Drosophila melanogaster: one gene and its partners. The protein of the gene in region 2 interacts with the protein of the main gene of each other region in a pairwise test. Each region holds a gene or a part of one and is shown on either strand. Other genes may lie near its edges.

Region 1 (3,801 bases), on a different chromosome or scaffold from region 2:
ATAATAACGAGTCAAAACAATAAATAATTGATTTGCTTCCGCAATTGTCTTCCGGATCTGCCTTCTCGTCATGTCTTGGGGTCAACTCGGTACGAAATGGACGCATCGAGCACTGAGTAATTAATTAATTGACTAATTAATATGCACACTGCGCAGCTTGCCGGTTGAGATTTTGGATTTAGATTCCTACATTTCGGATATACACAGCTTCTGCCAACGAAACTGACCTTGCCCGATGTCAAACACCCGCGACGCATTTTTATTTAACGGCCACAGGCGCGAAATTCGATCATGAATGGAGGTGAGATGGTGACGCAATTTAGATTCGCAACCAAAATCTGGGCTAGTGGGGGTGCGCGCTCCCAGTCATCCGCGTGACAACTTCCTTGACTAACCGGTTAAATCTTAAACGGCGGCTCCACAAAGTGAATTTATTTAGCGCCTGTTTTGTGTCTTGTTGCTCCAGGTGACAGAACCCAGTTGTTTGGGCAGGCCCCAAAAACACAATAAGTGTGGCGGGGCACGCCCTGTAATACAAATATTTGCAGCATGCAAATTACCTGTTTTACAAATGACAAACGAAGGCACACTCATCTGGTAATAAAAACTGCCACTTGTAGGTTGATTTGCCATGCAATCACACTCAGCTCGCATGACAATAGAAAGTTTCTAACTCTGGGATTCTCAAGAAATTCCGATTTCCGCATAGTTCGACGACAGAACTATCAAGCTGAACCTTGCATCTAATTTGCAGTTCTATGCTGGGCGAATTCATGTAATGCAAATAGGAGTGTATGTCGATCGGTCGTTTTTAATGCCTGTAATTAGTATTCCCACCCATGTCTAAATTGAGATGCGTCATCACAGGTATTAAAAATTGTTTAGCTACAATTAGCGTCATTCAAGTTATTTGGCAGCTCGATAGGATCGAATGCTTTTAATAAAAACAATTGAACTGGACTTTGCCGCTTAAGTGTTTCTACAACAGTAACAGGTTAAATAATAAATGCAATTTTCAGCTTAACGTTAGGGGAGTGGCACGATATCTATTTACTCCCCCTTGTAGACGGGCTTCCGCTTCTCGGCAAAGGCAGCGAGTCCCTCCAAACGATCCTTAGTGGGTATCACCTGCGAGTAGCAGATCTCTTCGATGGAGTAGCCGGTGGCCAGGTCCACCTGCATGCCCTTGTCAATGGCCAGTTTGGCCATTCGCACGCCCACTGGCCCATTCGGGAGAATTTCCTCTGCCAATTTAAGTGCCTGCTGATAGGCGGCATCCTGGGTTTCGTTCTGTTTCACTACATGGTTAACCAGACCCAGATCTTTCGCCTCTGCTCCGTTAAACACTCGTGCCGTGAAAATGAGTTCTTTGGCCAGAGCAGGGGACAGAATGCGGGGCAGTCTTTGGGTGCCACCAGCTCCTGGTATGATGGCTAACCTTGTCTCCACCAGACCCATCTTCGTGTCGCTAGCAGCAGTCCGGATGTCACAGGCCAGAGCCATTTCCAGACCTCCGCCGAGAGCAGCTCCATCCACAGCGGCGATTACCGGCATGGGCAGCTGCTCAATGGCAATAAGCAGTCCCCTGAGCTCTTTTACAAATTCGGTGGCTTCCTCGGGAGTCATGCCTGGGATATATGTATAAGATAAGTTAGCTTTATCACAGGGATGTAAAATATTTAAGGATTAACCTTTTCGCTCTTTCAAATCCGCTCCGGCACAGAAGATTCCAGGGCTCAGACTCCTCAATACAACCACCCTCGATCCATTATCCTTCTTTATATCTTCCAGGACATCGTTGAAGGTCTCCACCATTCCCCGGCTAAAGGAATTCTTTGCTGCTGGTCGGTTTAGGCCAATAACTGAGATACCCTGCCGAGCTCCATCCAAACGCTCCACGAGAACTTCAGTTCCATCGCCATAGGGCGCTGCCGACGCCAAATTACGTGATGCAACAAGTGGCCGGGCTAACTGTCGAGCTAAACCAGACGCTCTTTTTATTAACATTGACATTTTAACGTTGAAAACAGATAAAAAGAAAGCAAGAAAAGGCAATAAGCTGATTATAAAACGACCGGCAGAAAACAGCTGTTGCCGCTGGTGCTGACAAAAGCTTAAAGCCACTATCGATAACAGTATTAAAGACACCAAGGCGGTTAATAACCGCGGTTGTTCACACTGCTTTAACATTTTACGGCATTCTTCTGACCAAATATATAAAATAGTAATATCAATGTATATGGATATAAAGATAAGCCGCTTTATAAGAATTATAATAAATGCTTTCATGGTACGAATTTTTAGATTTGCGATCTTTGTATTTATTTGCGTCTCCCACTCTTCAAAATGCTGCATAGTGAGAACAATTGATAAGCTCTGTAAGTGTGACCAAGCTGTTTCGGCATGAAAAGAAAACCACAACATCAACGGCCAAAGCACAGGCAAAAAGCGCCAGCCGGTGATGGTTAAATTTTCAGTATAAAAAATCGCCAATGTATATTTAAAGCATATTTGCAAGTACGCCCTCAACGCTCCAAGGATTGTGGCCCCAGGAACGATTGGAGCATTCCACAGAGCGACCCTATCCGGAGTAGTTACAACCGCAATTCGTTTTGCACCCGTTCCATTTGGCCCGCATGACGTAGTTTTGCGCTAGAGGAGAAACCACGGAGCACCCCCCACAATAGAAAAGAACTGATTGGAATCTATAGTGCGATAGTGACGCAGCGCGCCGTGTAAGCATTACCATATGTGTGGAAGAGATAAGCCTAATATGTATTCCTTTCCAGTGCAGGATGCTGTTGCGCGGCGTGCAGATCCTGCAGCGAAGACACCAGCACTTGGGAAAGGCTTTTAGCCAGTGCTCCTTACGTCAAGACGGCAGGAACCCTTGGAGGCGGCATGACGGCGAGGCATTCAAACTACAGCCGTGGAAGCGACCAAGCACGTTCCTTCAGTTTCGCTGCAGCGCCAATGGCAGTGATTCCAAGAAGGAAAAACCTGTGCAGGAGGAGGCCACCGCTGGTCCAGTTGCCAAGCCAAAGGAAACGAAAAACTTTGAGGTGAAGACCACAAAGGGCATCCTGTCTATCAGCACCACCATCGAGGACTCCAAAATTAACGAGATTGTGTTTGAAAAATCCGATCTGCCACCGGTAACGAAGGTGAAAGAGCCGGTTTTGGCCGCAAGTGCCATTAATCTACGTTCTACGTCTACTGGAGTAGCAACTGGTGCTGTAGGATTGGGAGAGAGCTCTGGTTCTGTTATGAATCCTCCTGAAACAGTGAAAAGCGCACCTAAAAATTCTCCGTCTGGTGCTGTGCTAGCTGAAAAGGCGGGAGAAGGTATTCGAACATCCCCACCTGCAGAGGTAACGCCTCCAGCGCCTGTGATTCCTCTAAAGCGACCCCGATTCGATTATCGTGCTTCCCTAGAGCGCAACTTTGTGACCCCCAACCGGGCCATCAGCGATTTCTTGTTGACCGCTGCTCAACTCGAAAGTCTGCCCAAGATCAAGCGGAGATCGCCGTACGAGCAGGAGCCACCCATGACTGTCTACTGGCGACGGGATGTGGAGGCTAAGGCCGTCGAAGTGTGGGGGTCCAAGGAAAATCTGTTGCGGGAGCGACTCAAGCGGGAGGTGGAGCGCAAGCAATACCAGCAGAGTAAGTGTTTTTGTGTCCTGTGTCCGTTCTACCTTTAATATGGGTGCTAAAGTCTATGACTCCGCAGATCTATTCACTGTTAAACGGCGGTTGCGTGACTACCGCAGGGAAATGGGATCTCGAACCAAAGTAATG
Region 2 (7,992 bases):
ATTTTTTGTAAGGGGTAACATCATCAAAATTTGCAAAAAATGTCAAAAAAATAGAATTTCCTTTTTTGGACACAGTTTGATTGGAAATTTAATTACGAGCTCAACGAGGTATGACATTCCATATTTAGACCATTATTTGAAATGTTCTGATAAAAAAACGGATTATTTTTTCGCAAAAAAGGATTATTTTTTCGATATTTTGAAAAAAGTCAATATTTCCGTTTGGTTTTTTTTCTTTGTTGAACTCAGTTTGATATATATTCCATATTTCATATTTGGAAAAGGAATTGTAAATGCCTAAAGTAGTGATCAGTTTTGTGAAGAGCTACTGGGTATCCGGCCAATCGACCCCTGTTTTAGTGAACAATATATTGTAGTTGCGATGGGCGCCATCATCACTCTCCGATCTTCGGCCCTCTGAAGGAATTATACCAAAGTCTGGGATGCCACCCAAATGAGGAATGAGCGATGTGAAAATGGAACTCAGATGCTGTCCGCTCAAATTCTAATTCCTGCAAAAAGTGGCGAAAGTGAATAATGGAATCCGGCAGTCAACACGTTTCGCCCAGACGAAAAACGCATTTGAATTTCGGCATGCATTTTGTAAGTAATTTATTAACCCGCCTGCATTGTGTATTAATTAAGCGTTCTGATTTACTACGCACGGAGTGAGGTTAATCTCTGGCCCCCTGTAGTCCCGAGTTATTTATTTCACTTTAATGGGCAGCCAATGGAGGCTGGCAGGCGTTAGTGGCGCCTTTCCGGGGATTTCGACTAGAAAAGGCTACTGCAAACAACTCATTCATCTGGCCATTCAGCTAGAGATTATCCCAAGTTGATGGCCAATGTCACGGGCCAGTGCCAACTTGGAACTTGGCACTCAGAATGTCTGCGTTTTTATGGCCAATATGATTACAATTTAATGGCAGATAAATCAAGAAAAGCAAATGCTCATGGCCAAAAATAAATGCTAGGAGCACCGGAAACGTATTATATATTTTATAATAAGTTAGCAATCTAAAATGTCTGCAACATTTTAGAAAATAAGCTATTTGTATTCTTTATGTTAAACACAACACTTTAGAATGAGCATTTCAATTAAACGATTGCATACTTCTAGGCCAAGTTTATGTAAAAGCCGCGTTGATAAATAAATCCAAAAGGTAAACTGCCAAAATGCGAACTTCAATTTGATTTGATTTCAAAAATTATCCAAATGAAGCTTATAAATGTTTAGCTTTTAACAAATATGCTGGTATATTTATCAAAAATTTTATGAAAGAATAACGATATATATATAATACAAATCCTCTAAAATAGCATTCTTTTGGGCTGTGATTATATGAATGAACTGATGTAATGTGCTACAGCAAAATCTCCAAAGTGAAACTACCTGATATTCAACTAATTAATATTTATTTGCAAACTTCTATCATTCTGCAAAATGTAACATCTAATCATTCAGTAAATAATCTTTATCTGAACTAAGAAAACTGAAGAAATAATATTCATATTATTATATTTTTAGTACCATTGCAATTATTAAAGCATCTATTTGAAATTCTGTAGAAGTTCGCTCAACTGAATACTTACTGTAGTAAATTGTAAGGTTGATTCAATCGAAACTGAGAGCGAAGAGTGTACAAACAAAACTAAGGCGATCGAATAGCACACCCTGAAATACTTTATCTACACTAAGAAAAGTTCGAAAAGATACCATCTTAGAGATAAAATTGGGATAGTGATAAAATCAAATGGAAAATATAAAAAAATTTGATAAAAAATAAACCTCTTAGATACTTTTACGAGATTGAGTTTTAAATTCATAATATATAATCTTATGTAATAAATATATAAGATCTTATCTCGTTATGATTTGCGTGTTTTTCTCAGTGTTCAACAACGTTAACAACTAGACAACAATGTTTTTGCAAAGACATACCAGACGAGAACTATATATATATATATGGATTGTTTTGAGAAAATAATAAAGATATACTATTACTTACTAGCCCAGCAACTTAACTTCATATTGTTATCTCATTGCGACTCTAAAGCTATTGTGTGTAAAATCTGATAAAGACCCCCCCCCCCCCCCCCATTTGGGAGCTAGGCTACGCCCCTGTGAAATGGGAAGACCGACGTCGGCAGCGACGCCGACTGCGACGCAAAACCGAGTTAACGACGATTTGGAAATCGGTTTCCAAGAGCATTTTCAATTGGGCGTTTCCAGTGTGAAGACCAATTCGAATTTTTCGTGTTTTTTTTTTTAGTCGCCAAACCGTCGCCAGTCGATTTTCACTCCAGCTAGTGAATAGCTATTATTATTATTTTTTTTCGCTGTGCTAATCTAAAGATTCTAATAAAAAAAAGTGTTCATAAATTAGCTAATAACGTTCCTTCGATCGGTATGTATTGCGGCCACCAATCTTGGCTAAATGAGCAAAAAGAAAAAAAATTGAAAAAAACATCTAACAATCAAACGAAACGAAACCCAATTTAAGCATAAGCAGCAGCTCGAATTCTGAACTTGTTTTTCGCATTTCGCCATTAGCATATAGCATATACATATGTACCTACGTATAATGAAAACATATTCAAAAACTTGCCGGACCACGAAGCCAAACTGATAATGAACAAACAGCAGCTGGGGGCTTCAACTATTATGACAAAAACGAAAAAAACAAAATACATCTATAAAAATTCTTAATCAGCGCGCTAGAGTGTGCGCGAGAGCGAGAGGGCGCGCGGCGCCGAGGGAGATAGCGCGTGTTACAAAATATTAATTGAATTGAATTCGATTGAAGGTCTTGTAAAGCAAAGCTCCACGTTTGTGTGATTAAAATAGTTATGGCTATTCACAAAAAGCCAAGTAATTGGTAATGTGAGAATGGTTAATATGTAAAACAACTTTATTATCGTTTATAATTAGGCAATAGCTAACAGTCGGTTTACTTACCATTATTAATTCACTGTGCTAATAGATAATGAATAATGTTTACTTTGTATTAAGCACATGCTTAGAAGATACAGCTAAAGGCATACAAAACAACTTCCGCCGTCGATTTGCAACGGTGACAGTTTTTTTTTATTAAATGCGTATTACTTTACAAAGTTTCTGGCATTTGGTTCATAATATAATAATAATAATAATATTTAATAATATAATAATATTTGTGGCAATTCTCAAAGTTAAAAGGAAAAGCAACTGTAAATAGAATATGTATTTCGAAGTTAGTTTATTACTTCTTCTAAGCTGAGATACATTTAATAGATACATTTACGCCAGCTTGAGATACTTAACCTACTAGATACTTAAATGAAATCGAAAGCAGAACTTCCGAATCGAGTGCTTGCCCCATTATCGCTAAAAAAAAAAGAAGCGAAACGGGCCCCCCCGATCGTAACCTTCGCCGGTTTCTAATCTTTCCTCTTCGTGGGGTGGCACCATTTATTTTTGGGGTTCTGAAACTTTTGGTGGAAAAACAGCAGATACAGAAACGTATAGAAAACCGGGTGGTGCCAATATGCGTGCCATCATAAAGCCATCATAATCTCCGCTAGCCGTCGCAGCCTTGACTGATATGATGATAACGCCCTCATACATAAGATGATAAGACCAATGGTGTGGCATTAGTGCACTTAGATACAGCGTCTTGTCCAGGATCGATTTGGATTTCGAGTGGGGCAGCGATAAGACGACTGGGAGTCACCATTCGCGATTAGGGTATTCTGGCTGCGATGCGATAGGGATAGGGTAGTTCGCCGATCTGCACGTGGCCATCAACCGCAGTCTGTAATCCATATGTTCCACTTTCACTTCATTAACAGGTGAAACAGTGCCAGCAAGATGAGTCCGCCCCAACTTTTGAGCAAGGACTCCCCAGATATTGAGGTAGGTCCTGGATCATGATTCACTTCCCGTTGATAGTGAAAACCTTTCGTAATTCCTAGGACCTGCTGTCGCTAAATCCGCGAGTGAAGACGCAGTGCTCCGTGGTGCCCACCAAGCAGACGAAGGAGAACAAGAAGCACTGGAAACGCAATGCGGATCACGCTGCTCCGCCGTGCACCACGCTGGCCAACGACTTCTCGGACATCAAGCACACCACATTGTCGGAGCGCGGAGCTCTAGAGGAGGCGGCCAGGTGCCTCAAATGCGCCGATGCTCCGTGCCAAAAGTCCTGTCCCACGCAGCTGGACATCAAGAGCTTCATTACGAGCATTGCGAATAAGAATTTCTATGGCGCCGCCAAGGCGATCTTCTCCGACAATCCGCTGGGTCTGACCTGCGGCATGGTCTGTCCCACCAGCGATCTCTGCGTGGGCGGTTGCAATCTGCAGGCCTCCGAGGCGGGACCGATTAACATTGGTGGCCTCCAGCAGTTCGCCACCGAGGTGTTCAAGAAGATGGGCGTGCGGCAGCGGAGGACACCGCAGGCGGAGGCCAATCCGCTGTCGCAAAAGATCGCCCTCGTGGGCGGCGGACCGGCATCGCTGTCGTGCGCCACCTTCCTGGCCCGTCTGGGCTATCGGGATGTGACCATCTACGAGCGGAGAAGCTATCTGGGTGGCCTGAGTGCCGCTGAAATTCCCCAGTATCGTCTGCCCATCGATGCGGTTAACTTTGAGATCGATTTGGTTCGCGATCTGGGCGTACGCATCGAAACGGGTCGCTCGCTGGGCACCAAGGATTTGACCATCCAGGGACTCCTGTCCACCGGCCATGATGCCGTCTTTGTGGGCATTGGCCTGCCGGAACCGAAGCTGAATCCCATTTTCGCTGGCCTTCAGCCCAGCAATGGTTTCTACACCTCGAAAAACTTCCTGCCCTTGGTGTCGGATGGCTCGAAACCGGGTTTGTGCGCCTGCAAGGCAGCGGCCGGTTTACCCAAGCTCCATGGCAATGTCATCGTTTTGGGTGCCGGTGATACGGCCTTCGATTGCGCCACTTCGGCGCTGAGATGTGGTGCTAGGCGTGTGTTCGTCGTCTTCCGCAAAGGATCCTCCGGCATTCGTGCTGTGCCCGAAGAGGTGGAGCTGGCGCGTGACGAACGCTGTGAGCTGTTGCCGTACCTGAGTCCACGCAAAGTGATCGTCAAGGATGGCCTGATCACAGCCATGGAATTCTGTCGCACGGAGCAGAACGAAAACGATGAATGGGTGGAGGATGAGGAGCAGACGCAGCGCTTGAAGGCGAACTTTGTGATCTCCGCCTTTGGGTCCGGCCTGGAGGATCAGGATGTCAAGGCGGCACTAGCGCCGTTGCAATTCCGCGGCGAATTGCCCGTGGTGGACAGGGTGACGATGCAGAGCAGTGTGAAACAGGTGTTCCTCGGCGGCGATCTCGCTGGAGTGGCCAACACCACGGTGGAGTCGGTCAATGATGGCAAGGTGGCCGCCTGGAGCATTCATTGTCAACTGCAGGGCCTGCCACTGGACACGCCGGCTGCACTGCCGCTCTTCTATACGGACATCGATGCCGTGGACATATCGGTGGAGATGTGCGGCATCCGGTTCGAGAATCCCTTTGGCCTGGCCTCCGCACCGCCCACCACCAGCACGGCCATGATACGTCGCGCCTTCGAGCAGGGCTGGGGCTTTGTGGTGACCAAGACGTTCGGTCTGGACAAGGATCTGGTCACGAATGTCTCGCCGCGCATCGTCAGGGGCACCACGTCGGGCTACAAGTATGGACCGCAGCAGGGCTGTTTCCTGAACATCGAACTAATCTCGGAGAAGCGGGCCGAGTACTGGCTGAAATCGATTGGAGAACTGAAGCGTGACTTCCCCGAGAAGATCGTGATAGCCAGCATTATGTGCAGCTTCAACGAGGAAGACTGGACGGAGTTGGCCATTAAGGCGGAGCAGTCGGGTGCCGATGCCCTCGAGCTGAATCTATCGTGTCCACATGGCATGGGCGAGCGAGGTATGGGCTTGGCCTGTGGCCAGGATCCCGAGTTGGTGGAGCAGATCTCTCGCTGGGTGCGAAAGGCGGTCAAGCTGCCCTTCTTCATCAAGCTAACGCCAAACATTACGGATATCGTTTCCATTGCGGCGGCCGCAAAGCGGGGAGGAGCCGATGGCGGATCGGCCATCAACACCGTTCAGGGACTGATGGGCCTCAAGGCGGACTCCACCGCCTGGCCGGCGATTGGCAAGGAGCAGCGCACCACTTACGGCGGCGTCTCCGGCAATGCCACTCGTCCGATGGCTCTGAAGGCCATCTCTGATATTGCCAACCGTGTGCCGGGATTCCCCATTCTCGGTATCGGTGGCATCGATTCCGGTGAGGTTGCGCTGCAGTTTATTCATGCGGGCGCCACTGTTCTGCAGATCTGCTCCTCCGTACAGAACCAGGACTTCACCGTCATCGAGGACTATTGCACGGCACTGAAGGCACTGCTCTACCTGAAGGCGAATCCGCCACCAGTCGATGGTCCCTTCTGGGATGGCCAGTCACCACCCACGCCGGTCCATCAGAAGGGCAAGCCCGTTGTCCGTTTGACCGGCGAGGGCAAAGCCACGCTGGGTTTCTTTGGTCCCTACCAGCGGCAGCGCGACATCAAGATGGCCGAGCTGCGAAGTCAGAAGGGAGCTCTTTGGGATGCCGAGCAGGTGAAGGCCACTCCTCCGGCGTCCAATGGAGCACCCAATCCGGCACCAAGAATCAAGGATGTGATCGGAGCAGCGCTAGACAAGATCGGGTCATACAACAAGCTGGATAACAAACAACAGAAGGTGGCGCTCATCGATGATGTGAGTGCTGAGTTATCATTAAAGTATCCAAATTTCTAATTGCATCCGTGCTTTCCAGGACATGTGCATAAACTGCGGAAAGTGCTATATGACCTGCGCCGATTCCGGCTACCAGGCCATCGAATTCGACAAGGACACCCACATTCCGCACGTGAACGACGATTGCACGGGCTGCACACTCTGCGTCTCCGTTTGTCCCATCATCGACTGCATCACGTGGGTTCCTCAATGTCACCAGCATCATATATATACTGGTTAACTAACTATATTATGTATTTATATATTTCCAGCATGGTGCCCAAGAAGATTCCGCACGTGATCAAGCGAGGAGTCGAGGAGAAGATCTTCTACACCCACGCTCTCAGCCAGTGCCAGTAAAAGTCCCTAGTTCTACGCGAAATACCGATAGTAAATTCCAATCTATGTAATTCAATTAAATACAAAACATGTTTCAAAAGCAGAAGATGGCATTCAGTTTTATTTGCTTAAAAATACGAAAGTAGGAAAAATAACTTTAAAAAAATTACTATGTTTATTATATCACTGATGACCAATCCACTTATTTTATAATCATTTTGATTTGAAATTCGTATTTGAAATTGGCGCGCAACTCAAGCTTTTCCCAACTTTATCGATGTCTATCAGCTGATTTTGGAGACCAATTTTTTAGCAAAAAAAAACAAAAATTCTATTAATATATATTGTCTGCGAAATTAACGAACAGTTAAGCTCAAGTAGCAACAACGAAATTTACTTTAATGTTTTGAAATATATATAACATTAATTATTTACCATATTACTTTTCTCATCCCTAATATAGGCGATACTATCGAATGGGATCAGCTGTTTGTCGATATTGAAAATTTTAGTTTAGAAAAACAGAAAAACGGAACGACGTAGGAATCCAGTAGCAGCTGTGCGTCAAAAAAAACTAGTCGTCTCTACTTTCAAATAGGCAATAGATTTAATCTGAAAACAAAATTCAACGTAAAATTCTAAAGCCACATAAAATCCGGCATTATTTGAAAGCGTCTGCAGAGCACAGCACTCCAAATCCAGTTCCGCCATCCAAGGTAAGCACCATTGTCGTCGCATTGCATCTCGCATCCAAAATAGCACTGATTGCCAGCAGATTCTACGCATTTACAGAAGCATATGATATAATAATGTCTCGATCATTGAGTCGCGTATTGGGTACCATCTGGGCGCCATCCCTGTCCATTTCACATACCG
Region 3 (5,164 bases), on a different chromosome or scaffold from region 2:
CTTCTGCCACGAAGTACTTATAAACTCCTGCCTATTGAAGTCTTGGGGAAATTGCATTTACTTTTCGCACCGTTCCGTCCCCCTGGTCGCAAAGCGTTTTATCTACCATTTTTCTCACCGAACTAGGAACATTTCACGCGTCATGCCGCAGAAAAGGCAAGAACAAGAAAAGCGTTTGGGGTTACTGAATGATGGTTGGCGGGTCTTTTTTGAGGCAGGGGGGTAGGGAAGGGTTGAAAGCTAAAGGGCAAGGCAACAATGCAATGCAAAACTTCTGACAGGCGTGGGACAGAAAGAATGGGGGCTCAAGTTCTTGCAGTTCTTCAGCTTTGGCAACCACTTGGCTCTCTCTTCTTCTTCATCAGATTCTTCGTCTTCTTCTTCTTCTTCTTCTTAGCCGCTCTGGTGTTGTCTATTGTAGGAACTAACTCATATGGAACGCTGCTCCCACTATACAATATTTTAATGCCCCCATAGAAAAACGCAGCTAACCGTGTGTGCATTCTACATTAATATTCATGTGCGTGATGCTGATGCAAAAGATACCGGGCGAGGGGTACACACAGAAAAAAAGATGAAATTATTGCAAAACTAAATTATGTTCGAAAGACTAATTAGTTCAATAAAACTAAATAAACCAAATATTGTAGCATATTTATAAACAAATCTCAAATATCATAAATCTTTAAAAAACGCAATCAATCAAATCTCTAAAAGATATGTAATTGGTTCAGTTTCTCCCAGTGCATTTGGGTTGTGTTTGCTGTGCACTTGCACGTCACATAGCCAGCAAAAATTACTTAAGCCCCACTCAGGGGACCGAGTGCGATTGAAGGAGGGGATGAGCGAGGTGGAACTGGGGTAACTATTGAAGGCGGTGGCCTGAGGCGTGGCAGCTGCCACTTGATGTTGGAGCTGCTTGGCTCCTTGGATCCTTGGCTCAGCTCCAGTTCCTGTCCTCTATCCGCATTGTCATATCAGCGTCATATCAATAAATATGCAGGCCGCACAAAAGGCCACGTGCAGACAGGATTTGCATATCCTAACCCACTGCCACGCCCCCTCTGCCATGCCCACCTGCGCCAGATTTCCCACAGCTTGATATCCTTCTTTGTTCGAGTTTGTCTCATATGTTTGCGGAGCCTTGTCTTCGCAGCTGCGTTGCAGTTAATTTTCCAAGACAATGGCCCACGAGGTGGTGTAGAAAAATAAGCTTTACACGTGCCGCTTCAACGGCCACGCCCCCTCTAAATTTGCAGTAAGCGCTTTTTAGGGGGGAGCAGATGCACGGGCTGGAGTTTTTTGGGAGCTTAAATCACAGAAAAGGGGTTCGGCTGCTTAGGGTGAGGCACTTCTTTAAAAAGTCTACGACTAAAGTTTGTGGGTACTGAAAAATAGTTCGCCAAAGACTGAGAATATGTACATATGTAGATGTTTTAAGTTCAAAAAGCTAGGACAGATATGAAAATGTTTATTCCAATCCATAAACTTATAATATGTTTTTTAAAAAGTTTTTGGGTCATCAGTCAAAGTTCATGGAACTTCTGGAGCCTTATACCATGATGTTGCACAAAAATGTCCTAAATTTGCTTTAGTGCACTGTCCACGCAAAAATAGTTGCTATCGTTCTCTCTTATGTTTTTGCACTTTGCTTGCGTTTCTTTTTCGCATGCATTCGCACGTCACTTGAATTAGGACTTTGTTATCGTCACGGCGGCGCCACCTGGCGGAACAAGCTGGCAGTCTTGGCTGGACAGGGGAATCCCCTTTTCGAAAACTTTGCTGACTGACAAGCTGCATAAACTTGGTCATGAACCAGCTACTGAGCTACACAAAAATGTACGAAAAATGAGTAAAACGAATTAAAGCCACTCGAATTGCCAGCAGACTTTGCTCAGTTAATAGCTTGTCCTTGCTGCAAGTATGCACAGCCCAATTCATACGCCCCGTTGGCCGACGACGAGTGTGTTTTGTTTTGGCAGCAAAGTGCTGGCCAATGTAAACAGTGTAAACTATAACTTGGCTGAAACTGGTCGAGATGCTGTAGCTGAATCTGAAACTGGCCAGGAAACACTTAAATTAACTGCTTCAAGTCGCTTCGTATGTGGGTCATCTGGGCAGAAGAAAGCTGAGAGCCACGAGAGATGATTACTCAACTTGGTTCGCATCGCATTCTATATAGTTCGTTTTGGTTTGGTTTGGTTTTGGTTCGGTTTGGCCTGGCTTGGTCTGCTGACCGCAGAACACCAAACAACATCAGCAGCACATGTGAAAATGGAGCGCATAAAAACCAGAGAAATTGCCATTGGTCTTGGAAAGGGAAGGGAATCGTGTTGTACTCGTAGTGTATTGTACTTGGCCCTAAATTGCCGCAGATACAATTTATGACCCGGCCAGTTAAGAGTCCGACTCCGGGCACAAGTTGCCTTCCGCAGTTGAAAATCAATTAAAAGTTCTTGCCCAAGACGTTTTGGCCCGTTTCAAGGCTGCATCGCGTCGAGCTGAGCTTTATGGGCCCTCCTTTGGGTCCGAGGAAAATCAGGAGGAGGAAACTAGTGTGGGTGTGTGTCGTGGGGTCAGGAAAAACTGGGCATGCAAACGCTTACATTTCCCGCAAAAAAAATACTACAAGAGTGGAAGGTTAAATGGAACAGATCGAAATCGCTGGCATGCCGCTCCACTTTCACGTACTTTTTAGTCCAATGCCAACTTAGTCTTAAAGGATACTCATATTTTCACACAGCAAAATCGATGATAATCCTTGGTTCAATTTCACAGTTTTTTTATTGGGTACTGTAAATATTAGCAGAATTTATTAAAAACCTTTCAGCCTTTTTTAAACGCCCTTGGTCTTATTGGTTAGTTGAAATTCACTCTAGATTTCACAAGTTTGTGAGCAATATTTACGAAATCAATTAGACAATCTCATCTAAGGGAGCTGTTAATTCTAAATTAAACTGAGGTTCCAGTAATTGAAAATATAACACGAATAATTTTGTTGTAAATAACAAAAAATGTTCTACTTCTTTATCAACGAAGCAGGAAAACCAAAAGGTAGTAGGAGTAATCTTCAGAATTATTTATATGAAAATGTTCTACACTCTTCAGTGTTACAGATAATTTTATGTTATCCATTTGTAGAGGAAAGAAAAATACAAATTTATTTTTCTATATTAAAGCCATATTTCAAAATTTGCTGGCGTAGTGACACAAATTATTTGGGAATCACGGATGATCCCTCTGCTTTCACACAATGTTTCTGGTATTCGTAATCCGAAGGCTAACCTTGACTAAATATTATTCACTGATCGTGGCACAGAACCGATAACAACCGATAGTAGTGGGTTTATAGACCGATTCGCAACCGATTCGTGCGATCTCCTCGAGTTGCCGTGAAAGACTGTCGCTGGCGAACTGCTTCTTGGATGGTTTTTAGTTTTCAGTTTGAAGTTTTCTGTTTTCAGTCCTGAGTTCGGAGCACCCCCCTTCTTACTGCCCGATTCTTGGGCAGTGACTTTCTTTTTTACCGCCTCTCTTTACCTGTTTGTGTTGGTTTCTTTTTTATTTTTGTGGCGATTCGATTCGTTTCGATTCGATTCGAGTCGATGGTGGATTCTGGCCTGAGCTTGGCTGGCTCTTCAGTGGTTCGAATTCGAGTTCGGGTTTCCAACACCGGCGCGCACACAACTGTCTCGCTCGACTGACCGTCTGCAACTGATCGCTGGCAGCCAGCTCGTCTTACCAACTTACCAAGCTACCAACTTCCCAATTTGGCTCAGGAAAAGCCGAAGCTCGGCCCGAAGCGTGAATTTACATTTGGCTGCTTTCTGCGTCTTTCTCTGACTCTGACTCTGGCGCAGCTCGTCTGCTCGGCTCTCTTGGCTCGATTCTTCAATTAATTTGACGAGCTGGGCTGGCCTGGGAAAGTATTTGGCACACTAAACGGCCAGCTATAACAGTTAGCGGCTTGTCAGCCAACACTCGTGAGCTATGATCTAAGAATCCAAGACGGGCGAGTCTCGTTGAGTCGTCATCAGGGCAGCTTTATTGCAACTCTGAATAAACAAAAATTAAATGGAACAAAGCCGAGGCAATAAAACCCATTTGAATTACTGCACGAATCATAAAACTGAAATTTTCAATTACACAAATGAGAAAGCCTGGCCATAAAATAGAATTGTGTGGGATAAAATGCAGGTTATGGCTGAAGAGAACATTTTAAAACCTAATTAACCTACTTACGATCAGAATACTACTCATATAAAAAACATTTCCATTATTGAACGTTTTCAAGAGGCGCAATAAATTGTTTGTTAATTAAGAGATAAAGTGACAAGACAGGCTTAAAATATTTATTTGATTACCATAACCTTCCCTTGACCGCATTCTTTAAAGTTTTATTTGATTTATGGCCAAATCAAATTCTTTCCCTTGACTTCCTTCATAAGACCCCCTTCCCGATTAGCCATACGTAAATATTTTTGCCACCTGGAGTTGCGAATCGCAGAGTGCTATATTAATATTGATTTATTCCGGCATCGTTCCGCACCCTAACCCCATTCCGCATACTCCCGTCCGCGATCGAGCGAGCATTATGCATATATGGCCGATATATAGAGGAGCGTTCCCCAAGTGCTAATTTCTGCTTCTGTCCGGCGAGGCGAACCAGCCCATTTCAAAGTGAAATCGCAATGGGGCAGTTGGGGGAAAAAATGAGTGAATATACGGCTGATAGAAATACATCCGATGATAAATTGAGGTGTAATTAATTCGATTCGCCCTGACTGAGTGACTGACGTTTCATTTTCAGTGTCCGGGACGAGGAAAATTGACAGTCACAACTCAGAGCTTTCCCACATACTCGGGAAATCGGGAAAATTGTTGCTTCAGTTGACGTCGCCGGAGGCAGCGCAGCCCGCTGCGGCAGCGACGTCGACGGAGGCAGCGAGAGCGGTAAAGTCCAACAGTAAAACGTGTTCTACTCGTTTATGGCTGCTTCTTCTTGGGCAAAAGTTGTTTTTACTGTAGTGTAGCTGTCTATAACTTTCTTCTTGGCCAACTGTGAGCCACTGCGAGCCAAGTTAACTGGCTGTATGGCATACTAGAGTCTCTCTGTTAACAGGTCAGTGGAGTTTTCTTAAACTTCCAACTTCAGAAACCGAAA

What was found.
Region 1: the proteins of su(r) (region 2) and CG8778 interact in a two-hybrid assay, tested with the Drosophila melanogaster proteins (one large-scale study listed by BioGRID).
Region 3: the proteins of su(r) (region 2) and ect interact in a two-hybrid assay, tested with the Drosophila melanogaster proteins (one large-scale study listed by BioGRID).

What each region holds. Positions count from the first base shown.
Region 1 is NT_033778.4:12,650,393-12,654,193, forward strand, and holds CG8778 (uncharacterized protein), read right to left. Parts: upstream 2,096-3,801; 5' UTR 2,014-2,095; coding exon 1,692-2,013; intron 1,629-1,691; coding exon 1,051-1,628; 3' UTR 909-1,050; downstream 1-908. Other genes in the region: ZnT49B (zinc transporter 49B), read left to right, coding at 2,796-3,666, 3,719-3,801.
Region 2 is NC_004354.4:9,196,036-9,204,027, reverse strand, and holds su(r) (suppressor of rudimentary), read left to right. Parts: upstream 1-2,207; 5' UTR 2,208-2,408; intron 2,409-3,831; 5' UTR 3,832-3,850; coding exon 3,851-3,895; intron 3,896-3,954; coding exon 3,955-6,759; intron 6,760-6,817; coding exon 6,818-6,975; intron 6,976-7,049; coding exon 7,050-7,137; 3' UTR 7,138-7,220; downstream 7,221-7,992. Other genes in the region: CG12118 (uncharacterized protein), read left to right, coding at 7,926-7,992.
Region 3 is NT_037436.4:10,198,118-10,203,281, forward strand, and holds the start of ect (ectodermal), read right to left. Parts: upstream 3,409-5,164; 5' UTR 3,286-3,408; intron 1-3,285.